Canis lupus familiaris: one gene and its partners. The protein of the gene in region 5 interacts with the protein of the main gene of each other region in a biochemical or structural test. Links are inferred from orthologs where the notes say so. Each region holds a gene or a part of one and is shown on either strand. Other genes may lie near its edges. The genes, in order: PRKCA, CCNE1, G2/mitotic-specific cyclin-B1-like, CCNA2, H1-5 and CCNA1.

Region 1 (4,168 bases), on a different chromosome or scaffold from region 5:
CTTGGTAATTTACAAGTGTTCTGGCTGCACTCTGCACCTGCCAGTATCGCAGTAATTAGTTTAGGCTGCAAAATGATTTCTAAATTAAGGTTCCGGACTTGTAAAATCAAGAAAGGCTGATAATCACCGTTGTAACTGTGGTAGCCAACGAGTAACGGGATGGAAGGCTCGGACAAGTCCGTCCAACCATCCCACGTGCCCCTCAGAGGTCTCTGCGAGGTGCAGGTGGAGAACAGCTCCACAGTTAGAGGCACGTGGTAGAGACCGTGTGCGATGGTTTACAAACACGCTCTTGCTCCTGTTATACATAAGCAGTATTTTTTTGGGGGGGTGGGGTGTGTGTGTGCGCGCGCGCATAGGGCTTGGGCATCGCGCCCAGGAGCGCCCACGGGTCCTGCAAGGTGGGGAAGGGCGAGCGTCCGAGCAGGTGGGACGGAGGGCGGCGCGGGGAGTCGGACTTCTCGCTCGGGGCGAGGGGGGCCGGGAGCCAGGAGGGGAAGGGACGAGCTGGGAGGGAGCCGGGGAGCGCAGCGGACAGAGCCGGAGGAGCGGAAGAAGGGGCGGAGGGAAGGCGAGGGGAAAGAGGCGGCGGAGAGCGGCCCGCCCCTCCCGGCGTCCTCCTCCGCTCCCTAACTCGGGCGGGCCCGGGCCGGCCGCCGCGCCCCCTCCCGGGGCTGCGAGCAGACGGCGGAGGCGCCCGCGCGCTCCCGGCCCCCCCGCGCGCTCCCTCCGCGCTCCCCCCGCGCGCGCTCCCTCCGCGCTCCCGCCCTCCCCCGCGCGCTCCCGGACCCTCCGCGCGCGCTCCCGCCCCCCCGCGCGCTCCCGGACCCTCCGCGCGCGCTCCCTCCGCGCTCCCGCCCTCCCCCGCGCGCTCCCTCCGCGCTCCCGCCCTCCCCCGCGCGCTCCCTCCGCGCTCCCGCCCTCCCCCCGCGCGCGCTCCCTCCGCGCTCCCGCCCTCCCCCCGCGCGCGCTCCCTCCGCGCTCCCGCCCTCCCCCGCGCGCGCTCCCTCCGCTCTCCCGCCCTCCCCCGCGCGCTCCCGGCCCCCCCGCGCGCGCTCCCGCCCTCCCCCGCGCGCTCCGGCGTTCCGGGCATGCGCGGTGGGCGGCGCCGCTCCGGGCCGCCCCTGCCGCCGAGAGTAGGAAGCGCGAGCGCCGGGCGCCCGGCTGTCAGTGCGCGTGGGGCCAGCCCGCCAGCCCGCCAGCCCGCGAGCGGCTCCGGCTCCGGCTCCGGCTCCCGCGCCCGCTCCGGCCCGACTCTCCGCGGCCGCCGCCGCTGCCGCCGCCGCCCAGCCCGGGGTCGCCCGCCGCCCCGCCCCGCCCCCGCCCGCCCCCGCTCCCCGGCCGAGGCAAGAGGTGGTTGGGGGGACCATGGCTGACGTTTTCCCGGCCAACGACTCCACGGCGTCTCAGGACGTGGCCAACCGCTTCGCCCGCAAAGGGGCGCTGAGGCAGAAGAACGTGCACGAGGTGAAGGACCACAAATTCATCGCCCGCTTCTTCAAGCAGCCCACCTTCTGCAGCCACTGCACCGACTTCATCTGGTAGGTGCGCGCCGTGCCGGGGACCCTCGCTCGGGGCGCGCCCACTCGGGGAACTTGGGGAGCCGGCCGAGTCCCAACCCGCGCCGGGGACACTCGCGGGCGGGACTCCCGGGGGGGTGGCCGCCGGGTCACACCCCCCCCCCCACCCCACCCCGGGTCTCCCGGGCGCTCCCGCCGCTCGCTGGCTGTGAGCAAAGGGGAGAGCGAACGGGAGAAGCCAAGGGCAGAGTTTCCCGGAGGAACCGGGGAGCGGCGGCGGCTGCGCTGCGCGGTCCGAGCTGCTGGCGAGCCGGTCCGGGCGCTTGCGGGCGCGCGTGTTTCCCCGCGGGCCTGGGCTCCCCTGGACCCCTGGGTCCTTGCCTACCGTGGCTTGTACCTGCTGGGCACCGGGGGGACTGGACTTTGGAGGGTGAGCCCGGGGAGAGGCAGCAGCAAACTGTTGCGAGCTTGCGGAGGGGGAGGGGGAGGGGGAGGTAAAACCGGGCAGGCAAAGGGCTGAAGGGCAGAGGGACTCATTTAAAATAGACCCTGTCAACACGAGATTAGACCCGCAGCCCGGGGGATGAGGACAGAGGCCCTAGTTAAGGAAACCACCGTTAAGGTGTCCGAGTCCGGGCGCGGAGTTTCCAGGGAACGCCGGTGTTGGCTGGTGGGCGCAGGGGTTTGGAGGAGACGGAGAAAAGGGACGCGCCCCCCCCCCCCCGGGTGGGGGGGTCTCTGAGCCCTGTGATGCTGGGCGGAGCTGTGTATATACCTCTTTCTGGTGAGAGTTTATGGCTTTTACGGACTCTCAAAACCTTGACAACCCTCCCTCCCTCCAAGACACCGCCCCCCCCCCCAAAGTTTAGGAGGCCGAAGTTGAGGGAACCCCAGGTGCTCCGGTTTGGGCAGTGAGCAAATCCCCCCCCCCCGCCCCCCAGGATGGTAGGAATCCAGCCTTTTTCTATCTCCTGTTCAGGAATGTAGGTAGAAAGCGCCCCAAGTCGGAGCTATTGCAAGGGTTCCTGAACTCCTGTCTCTCCAAGTCGGGGTTGCACTGGGGTGGCAGTAAGTCTCCGTGTGGCACGTATCTTGTTGGAGCCCTAGGCAGCACTTAGAGATGGCTGTGTGAATCCATCACACCTGGGGGGAGAGCAGCTTGAAGGGTGGATTCCACAAACGTGGTGCTAATAAGACACTTTTTCCTCAACGGATGGCGTCTGAATTCATCATCCTGGGATGGGGGTGGGGGTAGGGGGAAGAATCAGGAGTCCTGCAGTTGTGCTGATAAGGTGCTTAACTCTTCTTTTATGGATGGCATTATCCGAACCTATCACGGCTGGAGGAAATCCCCTCTACAGGCCCTACAGATGTGCTACTAAGATACTTTTCCTTTATGGATGGCTATCTGAATCCATCACACCTGGGGGAAAGCATCTCTAAGGGAGAGTTCCTACACATAGCAGTGCTAATAAGGGGCTTTTCCCTTTTCTTAGAAATCTCAAAAGTACTTTTAGGAAAAGCACAGCCACCTCTATGAATGATTTCTACTATGTACTCAGCGTATGAAGCAGTTGTGCTCTAAGGAGCGAGTAACTGTAGATACGGCTATCTAAAAAGTACTTAGAGCGTCAGAGCGGGAGGTTACTGCATCTAGTCAAGGAGAGTTCTTCAGGCTCTCCTGCCAATTTGAGGGATCCCATAAAAGCACTGAGACTGCTGACTACTTCTGAGGGAAGTAGGTGAATTAGGAAAGGGACTTGCGGCATACATACCCAGGCAAGCTGATGTCTTTCCACTGTCTGTTGCCCTAAAGGATTAGCCCCTGGTGAACTGCTGTGGCCCTTGAGGTCACCAGGTGTAATGTGAAGCGGAAAATAAGGTCTCCCTGTCCGCTTCCTCCCTGAGTAATTCCTGTAACACTTCTCCACCTAACCTAGAAACTACTTGGAAGCTCCAAGAAAATATTCACTAGGGTTATCTAGCCAGTGGTATTAACTTCAGTTGTTTTTCATTGTTTCTACAGGGCCTTAATCTAGGAGTTTGTTTTAAATATTAAGAGCTGATACTTTAAATGTCTGGGAGATGACTAAGTTACATATAAAGATCTATGAAGTGCTTTGTCAACTTAAAATGCTGTGTAAAGCAGGAGATTATGACTAAGACTTTTAATGCAGTTCATCCTAGTTGAAGCAGTGTTTACAATGTAATGTCCGTGGTAGGACTCTCTGCTCAGAGTAAATCTGCCAAAGTAATTTACAAGAACAAAATAGCCTCTGTATTTGCTTGGAATACTACTGATGCTCTAAAAAATTAGATCATAACTTCCAATGCAACAACAACAACAAAATATTTTGTGAAATCTGGCTCCTTTTTGAACCAGAACTTAATGTGGAGTGGTACATTGTGGCAGTTTCTAGACACCTATTTTAAGTACATACATAACAAATGAAGATGCTTTTTAGTTGTGTTTAGGGGAGAAAAAGGATTTTCCACTTTCTTTAGGGATAAAATTAAAGCACTTCAATCATAGTCTTCATTTGTTGACCACTATAGTTCAACTCTGAATATCGTAGTCCTGCTCTTGTCTGGAAATTTAAGTATGGTTCACAAAGTGTAAATTGGAAAGAACCTTAAAATGTTGAAAT
Region 2 (3,500 bases), on a different chromosome or scaffold from region 5:
CCAACTAGGTTAGCAGTGGGCAGCACGTCGCTGTGTTGGGCACTGAGCAACAGCTGTGGCAGCTGGTTCTGGCAGAGTGAAGGGCTTTGAAGCAGTGGGTGTGCAGGAATAGTTGTCGTCCCTGCACGTAGACCCTAGAAATTAGCAATTCTGGGGAGATCGACCTAATATCGAACAAGGGGTTGATGATTTCTTTCTCATTAGATGAAGAAATACTTTCCTTTAGGGAAGGAAATAAGACATTCCTTTCTTTTCTTTTCTTCTCCTTGAAAAAACAAAAAGCAAACAAACTTTAAGCAGGTTGATTTTTATGAGCCGTGGTAAAATGGCTCTCCACTTTGTGAAACTCGGGATTGCTTATTTTCCCAGCTGTTTTGGGAATTGAAATTTCTGAGAGTGAAGCGAAGGCATCCATATCCACTTGTTGGAGTAGTTTGTTCTCGAGGAGGACCGGAGCAGTGCTAGGGTGCCTAAAATCGGGCTGTGGGCCTGTCCCCAAAGTGTGCACATTGATAGCCGTGGTATTTAAATACTCCTATCATTTCCCACTAACGAGAAGGAATTTTCCTGGTTGTTCAGAGATTAAGGACAACAGGTTTCTGTACGTTTTGTAGAGCAGATAGCTTGAAGATTGCCCATCTATCTATGGAGCACTCGTTCTGGTTTTCCCCTGTGTAGATTCATGAAGCTAGAAGTTTGGGGTAACACAATTATCACACGGAATTTTTGTCAGGAGTTCTAGTTCAGCCCAGTACAGTGGCCTGGAGCTACTTGTGGCGCATTGTGCTAAACTCCTTATAACTCCTTCCTCAGGACACAGAGAACCTTTGAGTGTTACCTTAGGCCTTTCCTAATCAAAAGACTACCCTTTTATCTGAAATCCATTCAGCATATCCGTTTTGTTGTTTAACTTTTTGCAGGAGACCCACCTTTTTAATTGAAGTGAAATCCTGGACTTTGTAGTAGTTACTTCTCAGCACCTGATTCTACATAGGTAGTTCTGTTCTTAGTTAAAAGTGGCATGAGGGGTCGGGGGTGTTTAGAAATAGTCAAAATTGGTGTCTTGCTCTTATCCCGGTCCTTCCTAAAGTCAGATGGATCTGGCCTCTTTGAAACCCAGCGTACACTCGAGACTTCGACTTCATTATTGTGCCTCACGTGCTGGATCCTAAAGGGTCCAGGTTTCCGAACCACTTGTGGCTTGTGGGTCATCCAGTCTGTCTATGCACTGTGGTTTAGGAACTGCTGCCATTTTATCCTCAAAGGCTGCTCTCAGCCCTTTCAGCCATCTGGCTGTAGAGGGTGGCACCCAGCTTCTGCCTTCACAGCTAGAATTCATTCTCGAATGAAGAGCAGCTTGAAGCAGTTGTAATGTGACTCGTTTTGAGTCAAGGAAATGCTACCAGCACATGAGACTAGAGCTGGAAGGGGAGGTTGCCCTTCTGGAACAGCTGTTGGCAGGAGTTGTCATGGTTAATTTGCATGCCCAATTCTTTGCACCCTGGGTGGAGAAGAGCTTTATCCTGCTTTGCTCTCCTCAGCACACTGAAAGTGCTCTGGCCGCCTCTGAAAGTGGCCGGTGTGCTGTGCGCGCCCCACTACCGTATCCTCCAGGCAGCACCTGGAGCCCACATCCCATGCTCATTTCTAATTGTCCCATTTCTTCTCTGGTCAGCCTTAATGAACTGTCTGCTTTAAAACAAAAGGCCAAGAGTCTCAGACTTCCACAGGACTTCCGTGCTGGCGGGATTGTTACTTGCCGCACTGTCCACAAAACCACTCTTACGACTCAAAAAAAAAAAAAAAAAAAAAAAAAAACAGAGCAGCTTGACAAAGAAAACTTTGTAAATGGCAAAAGGACCTTCTTATTTTCCAAATACTGAAAATCGAATAAAATTAAGTACCTAGAATCTTTGAAAGGAAAGCATATTGTTTGCGTTTTTAATGATGGTTTATTCCCTTATCAGTTCTTGGATCCTCATTCCATGCAAGACTTTGGGGGCAGGATTCAAAGGTCTTCAGGGGTATCTGGCTTCTATCTCCACGGACTTCTTAGTATATCCTGTGACCATTCCTGGATTTGGTTTTAACTAGGCAGATATTCTTTTTGTTTTGTTTTGAGTTAAGGAAAACAAAAGGTCCTCGTTATGTAATATATTAGGTAGTCTTGCAACCAGGAGATGTCACATTTGATGGTTTTACGTCTTAAGATGGGGACACTAAATACAGATGGTAATTTACATTTTTGGTCTTTACGCTTGTGAATGTGCGGTGCGCATGTAAATATACTTTTATTGGAATTCTTTCACTTTTAAGAAGTTTTGGTAGATTAGTTGTACCTGTTAAAAAAAAACAAATCTTTGAGTTGTGACCAAATAATCCCACAGCATACCTCAGAGGTTATGCCCAGTTTCTTACCGAGCTGCAGGTGGATTTGTATAGGTGGTGGTGGTGTCGGTTTTTGTACTCCTAAGAGCTGTTTGCATTTTGTCTTAATCCCTCCTGGGTCCATCTTCCTGCTCAGGTACTGGTTTGACGGCGACAGTGTGGAGGATAAAATGCTACTGACTTTGTAGTCGTCTTAGATACTTACTGCATAGACTCCTAAGCCAGTGGCAAGTGAAACGAAAGCTTGGAGTCCTTACTGTGGCTTTTACTTACTCGTTCCATCTTCATCCTCATTTAGGCCAGAATAGGTATTTAGGCCTGGAGATTGCTCTCTAGTGTGAAGATATTTTCTGTTTTACTGGCTGTTCTACAAATCATGAATGTACACATAGCTGGTTCCTATCAAACATTTAAGAATGTGTGTTTTCTTCTACAGCCTTGGGACAATAATCCCGCATGTGAAAACCCCTGCTCCTTGATTCCCACACCTGACAAAGAAGAGGATGAGCCAGCATACCCAAGTTCCGTGTGTGGACCGCAGAGCTTCATGCCCTCCAGAGCCTCGCCGCTGCCTCTACTGAAGTAAGTTGCCTGCCACGTGCCTTCCAGGTCTTTTGCTCCTTGTGCACAATCTCACCAAGTCAGTGTGGACGCATACTGACGCCTACTTCTTGTCTTTCGCTTGGTTTTGTTTCTTGTAGCTGGGCAAATAGAGACGAGGTCTGGAAAATTATGCTAAATAAGGAAAAGACATACTTACGGGATAAGCACTTTATGCAGCGGCACCCCCTCCTGCAGCCCAAGATGCGAGCAATTCTTCTGGATTGGTTGATGGAGGTGAGCTTGAGTCTTCCTGTCGACTGGAAGCATTGACCACTTCTAGAACCTTTGACGACCTCTTTGTGTGTCTTATACCCCATTGACACTTTTCTGTGTCTCCAAAGTACCACTCTTTTGCTTGGGTTCTTCCGTAGAAGAATTTCTGAAGTCTCTTTACCTCTTAGATATTTTGAGGTTGGCATTTAATTTTTTTTCTTCCAAGTTCAAATAATTACAAAAGTTCTCTTTTCCACTGAACTGTAAATATTGATATTTGGTCTTTAATTAAATTG
Region 3 (3,158 bases), on a different chromosome or scaffold from region 5:
ATTCTAGAATATGGTTTCTGAGATATATAGTTTGACTTTAACATTAGCCAATATTATCAAAAGGTATTGAGAATTTGAAAAGCTTAGATTAAAATATGCAAAAGATATTGCATACACTAATGACTGTATATTTTAAATGTTCATTTCAAGGTTTTAGTTGTCTCCTAGTACACGCAGTTTCGGTTACACTAATTTGTACCTTAAAAATGAAAACTTAGGGGTTCCAGGCTGGCTTAGTTGATAGAACATCCGACTTGTGATCTTGGAGCCGTAAGTTCAGGTCCTATGTTGGATATGGAGATTACTTAAACAACAAATTAATTAATTAAAAAAAATTTTTTTAAATTAAAAAAATGAAAACTTAGAAAATATATCTAATTAGTTTTTTCTTTTTTTTTTAAGAAGTTAAAAAGGACCACAAGCTTTATTAAAAGTAAGTAAAGGTAACATATAATATATACAGATGGCACATGGTGCCAATTTTATTTGCAGATATTACAATACTCCAATGCATGTTTCAAGTTACACCTTTGCCACAGCCTTGGCTAAATCTTGAACTAGTGCAGAATTTAGCTGTGCCAGAGTGCTGATCTTAGCATGCTTAGAGGCGGCATACTTGTTCTTGATAGTCATGTGCTTTGTAAGCCCACGATTCACCATGACTATATTCTTAGCCAGGTGTTGCATAACATTTAGAAGGGATTCTTCAGTGTAGGACAGAAAATGCTGTAGAGTTGGTGTCCATTCACCATTATCGAGAATTTTCAGCGCTAAGCAAAAAGCTCCTGCTGCAATCTGAGAAGGAGGAAAGTGTACCATATCGCAGTCCAACATAGATAGCTCCATCAGGTATTTGGCCAAAGTATGTTGCTCAACATCAACCTCTCCAATCTTAGACACTCTCCGAAGGAAATGCAGGGGTAGAGGGCAGCCCAGACCAAAATTTAAGGATCTTAGAATCTTCATTTCCATCTGTCTGATTTGGTGTTTAGTGTAAGTATTGTCAGTCACAAAGGCAAAGTCACCAATTTCTGGAGGGTACATTTCCTCATATTTGCTTGCAATAAACATGGCAGTGACACCAACCAGCTGCAGCATCTTCTTGGGCACACAGTTATTCTGCATGAACCGATCAATAATGGAAACAGTCATGTACATGGTCTCCTGCAGTAACCTGAATTTTTTTTGAACCTGTACTAGCCAGTCAATTAGGATGGCTCTCATGTTTCCAGTGACTTCACGACCCAGTAGGTATTTTGGTTTGACTGCTTGTTCTTCCTCAAGTTGTCTCAGATAAGCATAAATATCTTTCACGTATTCACTACAAAGGTTTGGATCAGCTCCATCTTCTGCATCTACATCATTCACTGCAAGAATTACATCAGAGAAAGCCTGACACAGATATTCTTCTGCAGGAGCACATCCAGATGTTTCCATCGGGCTTGGAGAGGGAGTATCAACCAAAATAGGCTCGGGTGAAAGTTTTTCTTCTTTAACCGGCTCAGGTTCCAGCTCTGGTTCTGGCACAGGGACAGGGACAGGCTCAGGTGCCTTCTCCAGAGGCTTTGGTATTTTTTTAGCAATGACTTTTCCAGGAACTGCAGTTTTTGCTTCCTTTTTCAGAGGCAGTTTGGCCTGTGGTTGTTCACTGACTTTGTTACCAATGTCTCCCAGAGCAGTTCTTGGCCTCAGGCCGGGCTTGGAGGCTGCAGCAGAGGCCAGAGGCACCTGCTTTGCCCCTGCCATACCGATCTTCGCCTTGTTTTCAACATTCACTTTTGTGTTCCTGGTGACCCGGAGCGCCATGGCCGCGTCTTCACGGGGGGAGAGGAGAGCGCGGGAGCCGCTGACGAGCCGGGAGCCGGGAGCCGGGAGCCGGGAGCCGGGAGCCGGGAGCCGAGGCCCGCGGGTCAACAGCCGTTCCTCCGCAGCACCTCTAATTAGTTTTTTCTTGATGTGTAATTATAATATAGCTTATATTTCATTGTATATTTAAATATATTTGTATAATATTGGTTGTAATCATGTATTAATAATTGAGAATACTCAGTTTTCTTTTTGGTTTAATTGATATATTGACATCTTTGCAGTGTTTCCTAAATTTCCTTTAACTTGGCAATTCACCAAATTCTTCTTTCAGTTAATTCCCACATTTTCATGTCTGTCTTTCTTTCTTTCTTTCTTTCTTTCTTTCTTTCTTTCTTTCTTTCTTTCTTTCTTCTTTCACGTCTTTCATAAAACCTTCTCCATTTAATTGAATGTGGTAGTAAATTTGCAACTCCTAATAAATACTCAGTGTATACTTGGGTATGAAGAGCCACACCATTGTAGGTCTCTCCTCTCTTTTTTCCCTTCTTTTTTTTTTTTTTAAATTAAAGATTTTATTTATTTTCTCATGAGAGACACAGAGAGAGAAGCAGAGACATAGGCAGAGGGAGAAGCAGGCTCAATGTGGGGAATCTGATGTGGGACTCCATCCCAGGACCCTGGGATCATGCCCTGAGCCCAAGGCAGATGCTCAACCACTGAGCCACCTAGGTACCCCTCTCTTTTCCCTTCTTCATTGGTACTTTGAAAACTTCTTGAAAGCTAAGAGGTTAATTCAGTATCTTACTGTCTGCCCTTGCATTTTCCTGCCACTTCTCCTTTTCTTCATTCCTGGCCTCTGTATTTCCTCTGACATTGGGGCCTATCTGGTAGTGGTGGAGTCAAGCGAGGTGGTGATGGTGTAAGTATTGGCATGCAGATGCAGCAGGGAGATCTGGAATCTAAATGTATACTATAGGAGGAGGAATGCAGTGAGCTGGAATGAAGAGGAGAGAAAGGAAATACACACACTCAATACCGAAATCCTTCTCTTTGGCTTCTGCTGCCCTTCTCATTTCCAAGTATATTTTCTCCTCTCAAATTTCCATGGGTGTATGACTTTTGTTTGAGCTTTGTTTGTGTGTATTGGTCTTTTTGGGTTACCAGTTATTCAGTTTCAAATCTGGAATATTTGAGGCAAAAAGAAAGCCTAGGAAACTCACCACCCTTTCATTCCTTGAGTCTCTGTGTTTCTACTGATATGCCCTCTCTCCACATTTTAGAGTCTTCAGATGTTTGTTGTATACATAGTGTCCAGGGTTTTAAATTGTACATAAGGGGAAAAATAAGGA
Region 4 (4,059 bases), on a different chromosome or scaffold from region 5:
AGTCCACTTTTTTTTTAAGTATGTATTTATTCATGAGAGACAGAGAGAGGCAGAGACACAGGCAGAGGAAGAAGCAGGCTCCATGCAGGGAGCCTGACGCGCGACTCGATCCCGGGACTCCAGGATCACACCCTGGGCCCAAGGCTGGCGCTAAACCGCTGAGCCACCCAGGGATCCCCAGTCCACTTGGTTTTAATCAACAAGAGAAAATACTGCTAGGCCACTAAAAGAGTGTGCTTGAAAATGTATTATTATGTTTAAGTATCAATCATATTCCATGAGAGAAGAGCAAATGGCACAGTGATTCTGCAAAGACAGTTAAAATCCAAGTTTTGTGGTATTATGTAGTATTTACCTTAAGAGTGCTGACCCCAAAGTCTGACATATTCAAAGAACAATGTAGCAATAACTAAAAGCAGGGTTAATGTTAATTAAAATTAGGTTTGTTATGAGCAATTCAAACAAATTAACACTATAATCACCAAATGTTTCATGTTTTGTAATTTTAAATTACTTTTTGAGGCAAAGAATATCATTCATTACTCTTTTCAAGTTTCATTGTAAGGTTAAAGTTTGTTATAAATTTTCAAGAAAAATACAAAAATTACTTTATTTCCAAAGGATTTTCCTGCTATTCCCAGACCACTTCTCAGAACTAAAACCTAAATGAGATGAAACGAATGAATTATCCAGTGACTCAACAGACCTATCTATGTATGGTAAAGAAGTTGCACGCATAAACTGTTGGCAGAGCTTGCTTTATAGCAGCTACTTCATTTTATATGTGGTTAGCTGCAGTCATGATTCAACTCTTGCCTCACAGGAGGACAGTGTCCCTCTCTGGTATCAGACTGGATTTACAGAAAATTTTAAGCTGTAAGAGATGTTAGATATCACAATATTGAAAGCTGTATCCTATTCAAATACTCTCGTAAGTGGTATGTACACAGTGAGTTTATGAATACGGTTCAAATCTATTCTCCCAAGCAGGCAAATATTTCCAGGGTCAGATTAAAATAAGGGTTTGAGATCTAATTAAATTGATGTGATTGGCAGTAATATGGGAAGGAAGGAGCACCCAGTTAGGATTTATAGGTCACTAGGTCAATGTATGAGCTGTGAGATCGGAGATGAATCATACCCTTTCTAAACTTTGTTACATTACACCAAATTCATTATATAGTAAGGGTCAGGTAAAATAATGTCTTAAAATGAAACTATCATTAATCCATAATCACTTTAGGATTACATTGATTTGATACAGATGTTCTTTAAAACTTACCAAAACTACCATCCATTGGATAATCAAGAGGTACCAGCGGTTTTCTTGGTCCAGGTAGAGTAATAGCTGAATTAAAAGCCAGGACATTTTCATGTTCTGTTTTTTTAGATTCAGCTGGCCTCTTCTGAGTCTCTTCTTCTGTTTCATCCACATGAATGGTAAATGCAGGCTGTTTACTGTTTGCTTTCCAGGGAGGAATAGTGACTTGTTCATCATTTATAGGAAGATCCTTAAGAGGTGCAACCTAAAAAGAAATGAATAGCTAGCTTTGAGCCTATTAAATGGAGTTCTGCTTGCTTTCTTCCCCTTACGGTTCTCAGTTTCTGTTTTCACTCCCAAATACTCTAAGGAAATTAAACTATCTGGGACAAAATCCAGGCAGTAAAGTTTGAATAGCTGAAGAAAGGGATGTTCAAGTTCGTTAGCGGCATTTCTACATAAGTTATAGAATCACACTAAATGCATTTATGCAAAACTAATCAAGGCCACAAGAGGAGTGGGGTAGCAGGCTGAATGATGACAAGTTTAGGAGAGCCGGCAAAGAGGTGTTGGTTCACCGCTTTGGCCCCAGGGTGGAGCAACAGAGCAAATCCGGTAAAATGGCGGAATTTAGTAAAAAAAAATTATTTTTTATACTCTTTCCTAAAGTAAAGGTAATCTTAACCAAATGGCGAGCAGGAAGGGGGTCCAGATCCTAGGGCAGTGCCTGGGGTTTAAAGCGGCGAAGAAAGCGCGGACATACGTCGTGGTGCTCGGTCTGACCCTCATATTCTATCGGAAAATATACCAAATAAAGAGCAGACAGGGAGCAAAACACACAGCGCTGGCGAAGAGAGCTATGGGAAAGATTTACGTGGCATCCCCCGCGCCAGAACACTAGGCATCAAGGGGACTGCAGACCCAGGCCTCCCTTACAACAGCTCGGAAGATGCTTTCTCGCCACGCTCCCCGGCCTGCTCAAACCTCGTGCAAAACTCCCGCTCGGCCCTCCTCGCCTGCAGATATCGTTCATCTCTTTACCCGCCGTGTCTTGGGCCTCTGCTGCGGCGCTGGGACGCGCTGGTTCCCGGCCTTCAGGACCGCCAACCCGGCCCGGGTCCGGGGCTGCTGGGCGGGCGCCGCCTTCTCGGGGTTGATGTTCTCCTGGTCCTCTTGGAGCGCCGTATGCTGCAACGTTAGCAGCGACGAGCCCGCCTCGCGGGCCTCAGGCCCAGGCTCCGAGCTGCCCAACATCACTGCTCCCCGGGTCGCGGCGGGATCAGCCTGCGGCGCCAAGCAGCGTGTACTGCGTCCCGCCGACCCCGCCGAGAAACGCTCCAGCCGCAGCCGCCCGCGGCAGTCCGGGCCAGCCTGCTCGCTCGGGATCGCGCAGCTCCGAGGACGTTGCGAAAGGCTCAGGCAGGAACTGCCGGGCGTGGAGGGCTCAAGACGCCCCCGAGATGTAGCGAGCAGCCCGCCGGAGCGGCGGCTGTTCGTGCAGTTCAAGTATCCCGCGACTATTGAAATGGGCCAATGGGAAGGGCCGATGCCCCTGACGTCACTCAAGGCGACACGGTCGCAGACAAATGAAGGAAGCCGTGAAGGCCACGGAGCGGGGGCGGAGAAACGCCGAAAGGCGGCGGGAGGGAAAACGCCTGCGCCGGCCAAAGAGGCGGGGCCTGAACTTCTAGTGACTAAACTGGGCCACTTGGTGACCCGAGGGTGCTGGGCCGCGGCTGTCTCTAGGACCGACGGAGTCAAACCCCAGCAATTGTTAGTGGCCGCGCCTGCCTAACGCTGGCCGTGGGGCCCTCAGTTGGCTGGACTGACTGGTCTCCCAAGCTCGGATCCGACCCAGCCGCGAACCGGCCTGGTAGGCGGGCCCCGTGATGACACGTCTCTGATTCTCAGTGTTCTCATCTATTAATTGGGGGTAAAATGCTACATGTCGTATGGCTGTTGTGATTATGTAATGTGCGTAAATCATTAACATGCTTGCTTACTGATCCTCGAGTGTGGACTGTACTGTCATGTATCATTTAGGGGTTTCTTCAGTCATGCTTCCGAATTCACCTCATGAAGATGTGATTAGGTAGGTGCTACCTTAACTACTGTTGATACATATATATAAACAAATAGTAATGTACTGGAAGAAACTCAACTAGACAGTCACTAATTTTGATGCTTTTCCCAGCTGTGCCAGCCAACAAAAAGCACCCAGTGAAATTTCTAGTGACATAGATACAGAATTTTGTTCCATTTGGCAATGAAGGCTGTTTAAATAAAAACAACATGACCTTTTAAAATAAAACTCTCAGTGATATGTGCCTTTAACAAGTTCTCAGATTTAATAAACAAGGCTTGCATATATTAATATAATGGTAAAGAATTAAGAGACCTTGTTTTCTGACAAATTCATGAGGATGCCCTTCTTAAAAACATGATTATATAATCTTTACGCCATTTTAAAACAATCTTCAAACACAATATTCTCCTGAGTATGAAGAAACATGAATTAACATTAGTGAATAAAACTTCTGTAGCTTTAAAGTCTTATTTCCCTCTCTACATGATAAAACAAGTCAGTGGACACTAGTGCAGGAAAATCTAAGAGGCCATCACTATTTCTGCACTATTCACATGTAGTAGCCTTGTACAGTTCTACTGGTTATAGGACAGCAAGTGAAGATCCCTTCAATCTGTGCAGCTCTGCTCATTTCCCTGGCCAAAATTTATAGCACTGAGCATACTCAAGCTCACAAACTGAGCACGGGTCACAAAACATTACCTAGCAAGAG
Region 5 (3,468 bases):
GAAGCTCTGACAATAAGATTTTCACTGCAAGTTCAGGGTTATTTTTCATTTTCACCTTAAATTTGCAGTTTTCTCAGTAATTAACTCCATGGATGACTCTTAGAATTTGGATGTTAAATGAAATATGCACAATAAAATTAATTTGGAGTGCTTGATGTTTGTAACTTAAAAAAAAAAAAAAAAAAAAGGCTAGATCCTATTGAAAACATACAAGGCCAAAATGTAACTCTGTGCAAAATTAGAGTGTGTACAAAAGCCTTCAGATGAAAATGTGCTTTTGCCTAACTCTAAGTCAGGGTAAAGGCAGTATTAGTTTTCTTTGGAAAGTGTGGATGGCTCTTAAAAAAAAAAAAAAGCCTTTGGGTGTCTGACGAATACCTTTTCCGCTGGCGGGCTCACTTGGACCTGGTGTACTTCTTAAACTTGACTGCTTTGACATGGTGGAAAATAACTAACCCTCCCCTCCCCAACACCTCCACTCCCCTCCAACAAAAGCCAAAAGGGGAAAGAATAACAGTTACTACGTGCAGTCTTTACTCACAGCCTCACGCGAAGGAGATTAAACTCTAGTGATTTGTGGTAAATTCTGGATAGCATCCTGTAGCTATCCAATCAAAATAAGGGTATTTGAAAACCAGAATTGCATTGGTTCTAATGAAAGTCGAAGTTCAGCCAATAGGACAGCTTCATTTTGGCGCCCAGTAAGGACTATAATAAATACTGAAACTTGGTCTCCATCTGTTCCGATCCAAGTCACTGTTGTCTGTCATCATGTCAGGTCGCGGGAAGCAGGGCGGCAAGGCTCGCGCCAAGGCCAAGACGCGCTCGTCGCGCGCCGGGCTCCAGTTCCCGGTGGGCCGCGTCCACCGCCTGCTCCGCAAGGGCAACTACGCGGAGCGGGTCGGGGCGGGCGCGCCGGTGTACCTGGCGGCCGTGCTGGAGTACCTGACGGCCGAGATCCTGGAGCTGGCGGGCAACGCGGCCCGCGACAACAAGAAGACGCGCATCATCCCGCGCCACCTGCAGCTGGCCATCCGCAACGACGAGGAGCTCAACAAGCTGCTGGGCCGCGTGACCATCGCGCAGGGCGGCGTCCTGCCCAACATCCAGGCCGTGCTGCTGCCAAGGCTAGGAGGAAAAGAATTAGACTTCTATAGTAAAAAACTCCCAAACCAAAATATTCCCTGGGAAACGGTGGGACCACAGTTGTAGTACCGAACCGTAGCACCGAACCAATTGGTTCGACCGCACACAGCGCAGGGTTTTCCAAAATGCCTTATATTAAGCTACATAACCATTACCAAGATTTGTGTCTAAGTGTACAGCTGTTTTTAAAAAAACCTGGGTGGCTCTGAAAAGAGCCTTTGGGGCTTTGTCGGCTTTTTCAAGGGGCAAAAACTTCCTACTTCTTTTTCGGGGCCGCCTTCTTGGCCTTGGCAGGTTTGGGCTTCGCGGCCTTTGGCTTCGCAGCCTTTGGCTTGGCGGCCTTGGGCTTCACCGCCTTGGGCTTGGCAGGACTCTTGGCCGCCTTCTTAGGCTTGGCAGACGTTTTAACTTTCTTAGGGCTCTTTGCTACTTTTTTGACACCGGCGGCTGCAGGCTTCTTGGCCTTCTTGGGGGTCTTCTTCACGGCTTTCTTCGCCCCCGCCGCTTTCTTGGGTTTCTTAGGAGTGGCCCCGGAGGGCTTCTTGGCTCTGGCCGCGCCCGCCTTCTTGGCCTTGGGCTTGGCCTCCCCGGAGGCCGCCTTCTTGTTGAGCTTGAAGGAGCCCGAGGCGCCGGTGCCCTTGGTCTGCACCAGGGTCCCCTTGCTCACCAGGCTCTTGAGGCCCAGCTTGATGCGGCTGTTGTTCTTCTCCACGTCGTAGCCGGCGGCCGCCAGCGCCTTCTTGAGCGCGGCCAAGGAGAGACCGTTGCGCTCCTTGGACGCGGCCACCGCCTTGGTGATGAGCTCGGACACCGGGGGCCCGGACGCCTTGCGCTTCGCAGCGCCACTGCCCGCTGCCTTCTTGGTGGCCTTCTTTTTGGCAGGTGACTTCTCCACCGGCGCCGGGACAGCCGTCTCAGCGGGAGCAGTTTCCGACATGGCCGAGAGCAGAAGCCGCTGCAGGAAGAGAACCGGAAAAACGAAAGAGCAGGTCTTGCAATGCTGCCTGACTCCGGCCAGGGGCTTATATAAGCCGGTGCTGCTCTGTGATTGGTGGAGCGTCCAATCCACTGCCCTCAGGCAGCCGCCCTTCGCGGTTGGACTCCCAAATTGTGTTTGTTAGCTCCCAAAATCTGATTAAATACTGAAAATTATTATACAGAATTTGACGTGTTGAAGCTCTCAAGGAAGAAAACAGTCTCTAGGTTCACATGCGGATTCGTGTTTTCATGAATCATGTACAACAGATGAAAGATTTTTCTTTTTAAATCTTTTCAGTTTTTCATAGGAATCCACTGGGTTTAAGGCATTATGGTAGTTAGTTCAAAGTTGCAGTAAGTTCTACTAAGTATCAAGTGGACATGTTAAAAAATGTCCCTAGGTCTGCACTTTGATTTTTGTAAGAGGAAAGACACAGGTTCTCGGTTTGGGAATAAACTGTAGTTAGTAACACAGAGGGAGGGCAGCAGCTTGCCTGCAGCCCCAAATTAACCACATAGATCCTCCTTCAAAAGCCAGTTCTGCCTCCTGGGAGTTTTCACACGCCCGATGTCTTTAGAGAATGTCTTTGGCTGTTTGGGAAAGTTTAGTAGCCAGAATGATATCTACCTTGCAGCAGGAGGAGGAGGAGGAATAGCTTTGGCTTGAGGATCCAATGACCTGAATTTGAATTAAAACTTAAATTTGATATGTTTTTTATTGAGATGCTTTCTACCTTTAGTATTAGGCAAATCCATTATAATAAATGGGAAAGATGCTTAGCACAGATAAAGTGCTGGAGGAAAACCTCAAACCTGCTGGAAGTATTCAAGGGCTTCAGGAGTCCTCAAAAACACAGACTGTAGGTGACATGGGACTCTGTCAGACTTCCAAGGTACTCTTCCCAATACTTCCCAATTCAAAGTCCTTATCTCCATCAATATGTAATAAAGTGCGCTGTCAGAAACACCTTTCTGTAATGTGAGCATTATTGTGTTATGAGCTAGGAGAGACCTTATTTAAGAGAAATAGGTGGCTACGGACTATGAGAAGACTGGATTGGCAATTGAAGGAATACAAGTTATAGACACTCAGAAGTAGTCAAGAATACAACATCCGGGAAGCTGGGTGGCTCAGTGGTTGAGCATCTGCCTTTGGCTCATGACGTGATCCTGGGATTGAGTCCTACATCAGGCTCCCCAGAGGGAGCCTGCTTCTCCCTCTGCCTAATTTTGCCTCTCTCTAGGTGTCTCTCATGAATAAATAAAATCTTAAAAAAAAAAAAAAAAAAAGAATACAACACCCAAGATAACTGAAGAAATAACCATGAGGTTGGAATGGAGGGT
Region 6 (3,371 bases), on a different chromosome or scaffold from region 5:
CAACCATGCCTTTTGCATGGCCCTTGAAGACTTCTTTCCTCTGTATCCACATATCCACTTAAATATTACTAAATGGTACCGACCTTGAAAATATTCAGATCTTGATGCCAGAACAAGAGCATGAGTATTGCAAGGATATGTTGTACTTACTGCTAGGAGTAGTAACAGAGACAATTTCCAACTGAGAATTTTAGGTTGTGGCCTCTGATATGCTGAAAGATTCTGAATGACAGACATACAGATAAATTGCTCTTAATTCTATAAACCTCACTCATCTTGTGGAAAAGAATGTTATATTGAACACAAGCGTAGAATAAAAGCTCCTTAGATTGTAGATCTTTAAAAAGATCATGTTCAAAATAAATAAATAATAAAAATAAAAAGATCATGTTCAGAATTTTTCTCAATTGGATTAGCAAATGATGCTATGTATCCAAGAGTAAGATAATGATAGAATTTCATTATTATCAACTCTTTTGCTTTAGTTTCTGCTTTCTATGGGGGAATTTTGGCAAGTTTCTGGGCATTAATAAGTAGAATGTCCAAGACCAGAAGAATTGAAGACACTGCCATCTACCAACAGGTCACTGAATTTAAGGCAGTTCAGGCAGAAGCCAGCTCTTTTTGTACACAGTGATAGTTTATTCACTGGAACCAAATAAACTGTGTTACTACAGGTCATTTGCTAGATCGTGACGATGGCTTTTGTATAATCAAAATATTTTCTATAACCACAATCTTTTTGTATTAGAATGCAGTCAAAAGACCACACTGCAAAATAGTTAAACTGGATCTTGAATTTGAGCTGATGGTTATCTGTTCATGATATTGAACTTGTTGCTATAAATCTTAAACATCGGAATTGAAGAGTGAACACGTGTTAAGATTGCATGTTAAGATTCAGTTTCTCAGTAAATACTGCAAAAATGATACTTTATCAAGGGAGGCATGAGTAAGCCTTAATTATTGAGCATTTCTTCAACAAATGGGAAAGAAAATCAAGTGTTTTGACAGGCTGCAGTTTTACATTATTTAAGCTGAAAGAATACTTACGAAGCCAGAAGAATAGCTGCTGTTCCTACAAGCTGCAATTTCCCTCTCAGAACAGACATGCAAGAAAGAAACCTATCCAGGAAGTTGACAGCCAGGTACAGAGTCTCTGCTCGAAGCTTATACTCTTCGCCGACCTCAACCAGCCAGTCCACCAGAATTGTTCGCATGCTTTCTGTGATGTCTGGTTGCTTTCTCATGTAGTGTGCTTTGGGCCTGTGTCTTATCTGTTTGGGAAAAGAGTTCTAATACTTAAATAGTTGTATATCAGAAAGATCGCTCCATGGTACAGTGGCTATTTAACAAATAATCTCTGAGCAAAGGTTAGGAAGAAACTGATCAAGAGCCAAACACATCTTTACTATGTGGAAGAACGTATGAAATTCTGGTTCTGTAAGGCAATTAGGTAACAACAAATAACTTAAAGGAGGAGGGGCAGGGAATAGCAATATGGGTTATTCCTAAGAGTGAAATACTGAATACATAAACCCTTTGAGTTGTGGAGAAATAGTCCAAGTAATTGCTACTTGCCTCACAACTATTACTATTTTTTAAGATTTATTTACTTGGGGGGCAGGGAGGGAGAAAGAGAGAATCTCCACCAGACTCCCCACTGACTGAGGAGCCCAACACAGGGCTCCATCCCAAGGCCCTGAGATCATGACCTGAGCCGAAATCAAGATTTGGATGCTCAACTGACTGAGCCACCCAGGCACCCCACACCTATTCTTTTTCATAGATATTCCTACATTTGGATGCCATAAGAATGCTATTCACTAGTGGATTTGGCCAGAAGTTTATAGCTATCTTGTTATTAAGTGTTTTGAGTGCTAGAAATTGAAATAGAATTTGGGAAAACTCACTTCAGCTTCTCTAAGGTACTGATGAATTTCTTCAGCATATTCAGTCACATTTATCACATCTGTACCAAAATCTGATGCATCTTCAGACTGGGAATGGAGAGATGAATCTACCAGCATAGGGGAAACTGCAGGGGTTCAACATTATCAGGTAAGACATTCAGTTTAAAAATTCATTGCATTCACTAACCCTCCACAGGCAATTGTGAAAATAAGGCATTACTTCATGGTTTTCTCCTGCTAGTTACATGCTATTGAATGCTGCAGGCGATTATGAGTACAGAGTACCACCAGCCATAGGTGAGTCGGATTACCTGTGTTGAAATCCAGCAGGAAGTGAAGGTCTGACTTGAGTGTGCTGGTGTCTACCCCACACACATCCTCAAATGCCATCCCCTCTCTCCCAGTGCAGCTGTCTCTGTCTCCTTGCTCAGCCTCATCCATGTAGATATGAAATCCTTGTTTGGCTGGCACCTGGACCCTGCAGTCAGAGAACACTTTCTTTCCAGCTGGAGGGACGACATTTTCTGATCCAGAGAAGCACCGGATTGTTGTGATCCCCTGGAAGAGGATTAAGTTTTTTGTGAGAGGCCACCCTGAAGATAGTATAGGTGATATGAGCTTGTGTGACCCAAGCCAGCAAGCCAGAAAGATGCGAACAGGCTTAAATTGAAATATCTAGGTCTGCAATTTAATTTCAGAAAATGAAGCTTCTGAAATATGACTTCTCCCTTATCTTTATCTACATCTAACATTTGGGAAAAGAGCTACCTATAATTTGTCATCTTCCTCATATATCTATCAAAGGAAACTCAAGATTATAGAAAAAAAAAGAAACCATAGCTATCCTCCAAAATGAGGATAGGTATTGCATGGGTGAGTGGGTAGAGGGAGATTGTTAATTGGCTTTCATACTTCTAGCCTATAGGATTTTATAAGTACCTCTTGATATATAGTCACTGAGTTCCTACAGTCTTCCTCCTTAAACAGCTTTCAGTAAGTAAGTGCCTATAAAGTTTCCATTTTATACTCAGATATTTAGAAACATGATTGTTTTAGAAACTCCTACCATTAACTTCTCTTACAAAGCCATAGAATCTCTTGTATGACATAATGTCCCTTGAGGAAATCTATCAGAGATAAAAGTATGAGCACAGGTAGATGGTATTTAATGCTAAGAGGCTTGAAAGTTTGAAAGGGAGTGAGTGCATATTCAGATCAAATACCAAGTCCTGGAGCACTCTTTTAGATATTGAGGAAGAGTGGCCAATGAGCAAGGTGGAAAACCAAGAGAGTATGGTTCTCCAGGCCGAGCGAGAAGAAAGGATTTCAAGGAATAAAGAATAATCAAATGTGTCAAAGGCTGCTGGATTAGTCAAGTAAGGAATGGACAAAAAAAAGGAGTCAAAAGAGAATAAGAGAAGAATTAAAGACAAGAGAGTATTCGCTCAACAAATCTTC

The links.
Region 1: of the proteins of H1-5 (region 5) and PRKCA, one has a biochemical effect on the other in vitro, tested with the Homo sapiens proteins (2 studies listed by BioGRID). The link is inferred for Canis lupus familiaris from reciprocal best matches to the Homo sapiens genes H1-5 and PRKCA.
Region 2: of the proteins of H1-5 (region 5) and CCNE1, one has a biochemical effect on the other in vitro, tested with the Homo sapiens proteins (4 studies listed by BioGRID). The link is inferred for Canis lupus familiaris from reciprocal best matches to the Homo sapiens genes H1-5 and CCNE1.
Region 3: of the proteins of H1-5 (region 5) and G2/mitotic-specific cyclin-B1-like, one has a biochemical effect on the other in vitro, tested with the Homo sapiens proteins (2 studies listed by BioGRID). The link is inferred for Canis lupus familiaris from reciprocal best matches to the Homo sapiens genes H1-5 and CCNB1.
Region 4: of the proteins of H1-5 (region 5) and CCNA2, one has a biochemical effect on the other in vitro, tested with the Homo sapiens proteins (2 studies listed by BioGRID). The link is inferred for Canis lupus familiaris from reciprocal best matches to the Homo sapiens genes H1-5 and CCNA2.
Region 6: of the proteins of H1-5 (region 5) and CCNA1, one has a biochemical effect on the other in vitro, tested with the Homo sapiens proteins (2 studies listed by BioGRID). The link is inferred for Canis lupus familiaris from reciprocal best matches to the Homo sapiens genes H1-5 and CCNA1.

The regions. Positions count from the first base shown.
Region 1 is NC_049230.1:12,890,634-12,894,801, forward strand, and holds the start of PRKCA (protein kinase C alpha type), read left to right. Parts: upstream 1-1,368; coding exon 1,369-1,541; intron 1,542-4,168. Other genes in the region: glycine-rich cell wall structural protein 1.0-like, read right to left, coding at 630-1,370. UniProt on the Homo sapiens protein: Calcium-activated, phospholipid- and diacylglycerol (DAG)-dependent serine/threonine-protein kinase that is involved in positive and negative regulation of cell proliferation, apoptosis, differentiation, migration and adhesion, tumorigenesis, cardiac hypertrophy, angiogenesis, platelet function and inflammation, by directly phosphorylating targets such as RAF1, BCL2, CSPG4, TNNT2/CTNT, or activating signaling cascade involving MAPK1/3 (ERK1/2) and RAP1GAP.
Region 2 is NC_049222.1:122,573,046-122,576,545, reverse strand, and holds part of CCNE1 (G1/S-specific cyclin-E1), read left to right. Parts: intron 1-2,824; coding exon 2,825-2,970; intron 2,971-3,089; coding exon 3,090-3,225; intron 3,226-3,500. UniProt on the Homo sapiens protein: Essential for the control of the cell cycle at the G1/S (start) transition.
Region 3 is NC_049250.1:29,512,802-29,515,959, forward strand, and holds G2/mitotic-specific cyclin-B1-like, read right to left. Parts: upstream 1,902-3,158; 5' UTR 1,807-1,901; coding exon 523-1,806; 3' UTR 501-522; downstream 1-500. UniProt on the Homo sapiens protein: Essential for the control of the cell cycle at the G2/M (mitosis) transition.
Region 4 is NC_049240.1:19,143,381-19,147,439, reverse strand, and holds the start of CCNA2 (cyclin-A2), read right to left. Parts: upstream 2,801-4,059; 5' UTR 2,516-2,800; coding exon 2,303-2,515; intron 1,527-2,302; coding exon 1,283-1,526; intron 1-1,282. UniProt on the Homo sapiens protein: Cyclin which controls both the G1/S and the G2/M transition phases of the cell cycle. Functions through the formation of specific serine/threonine protein kinase holoenzyme complexes with the cyclin-dependent protein kinases CDK1 or CDK2.
Region 5 is NC_049256.1:26,525,924-26,529,391, forward strand, and holds H1-5 (histone H1.5), read right to left. Parts: upstream 2,130-3,468; 5' UTR 2,084-2,129; coding exon 1,403-2,083; 3' UTR 1,213-1,402; coding exon of another isoform or gene 772-1,212; 3' UTR 501-771; downstream 1-500. Other genes in the region: H2AC16 (histone H2A type 1-H-like), read left to right, coding at 772-1,212. UniProt on the Homo sapiens protein: Histone H1 protein binds to linker DNA between nucleosomes forming the macromolecular structure known as the chromatin fiber. Histones H1 are necessary for the condensation of nucleosome chains into higher-order structured fibers.
Region 6 is NC_049246.1:4,258,242-4,261,612, forward strand, and holds part of CCNA1 (cyclin-A1), read right to left. Parts: intron 2,472-3,371; coding exon 2,225-2,471; intron 2,039-2,224; coding exon 1,914-2,038; intron 1,296-1,913; coding exon 1,054-1,295; intron 1-1,053. UniProt on the Homo sapiens protein: May be involved in the control of the cell cycle at the G1/S (start) and G2/M (mitosis) transitions. May primarily function in the control of the germline meiotic cell cycle and additionally in the control of mitotic cell cycle in some somatic cells.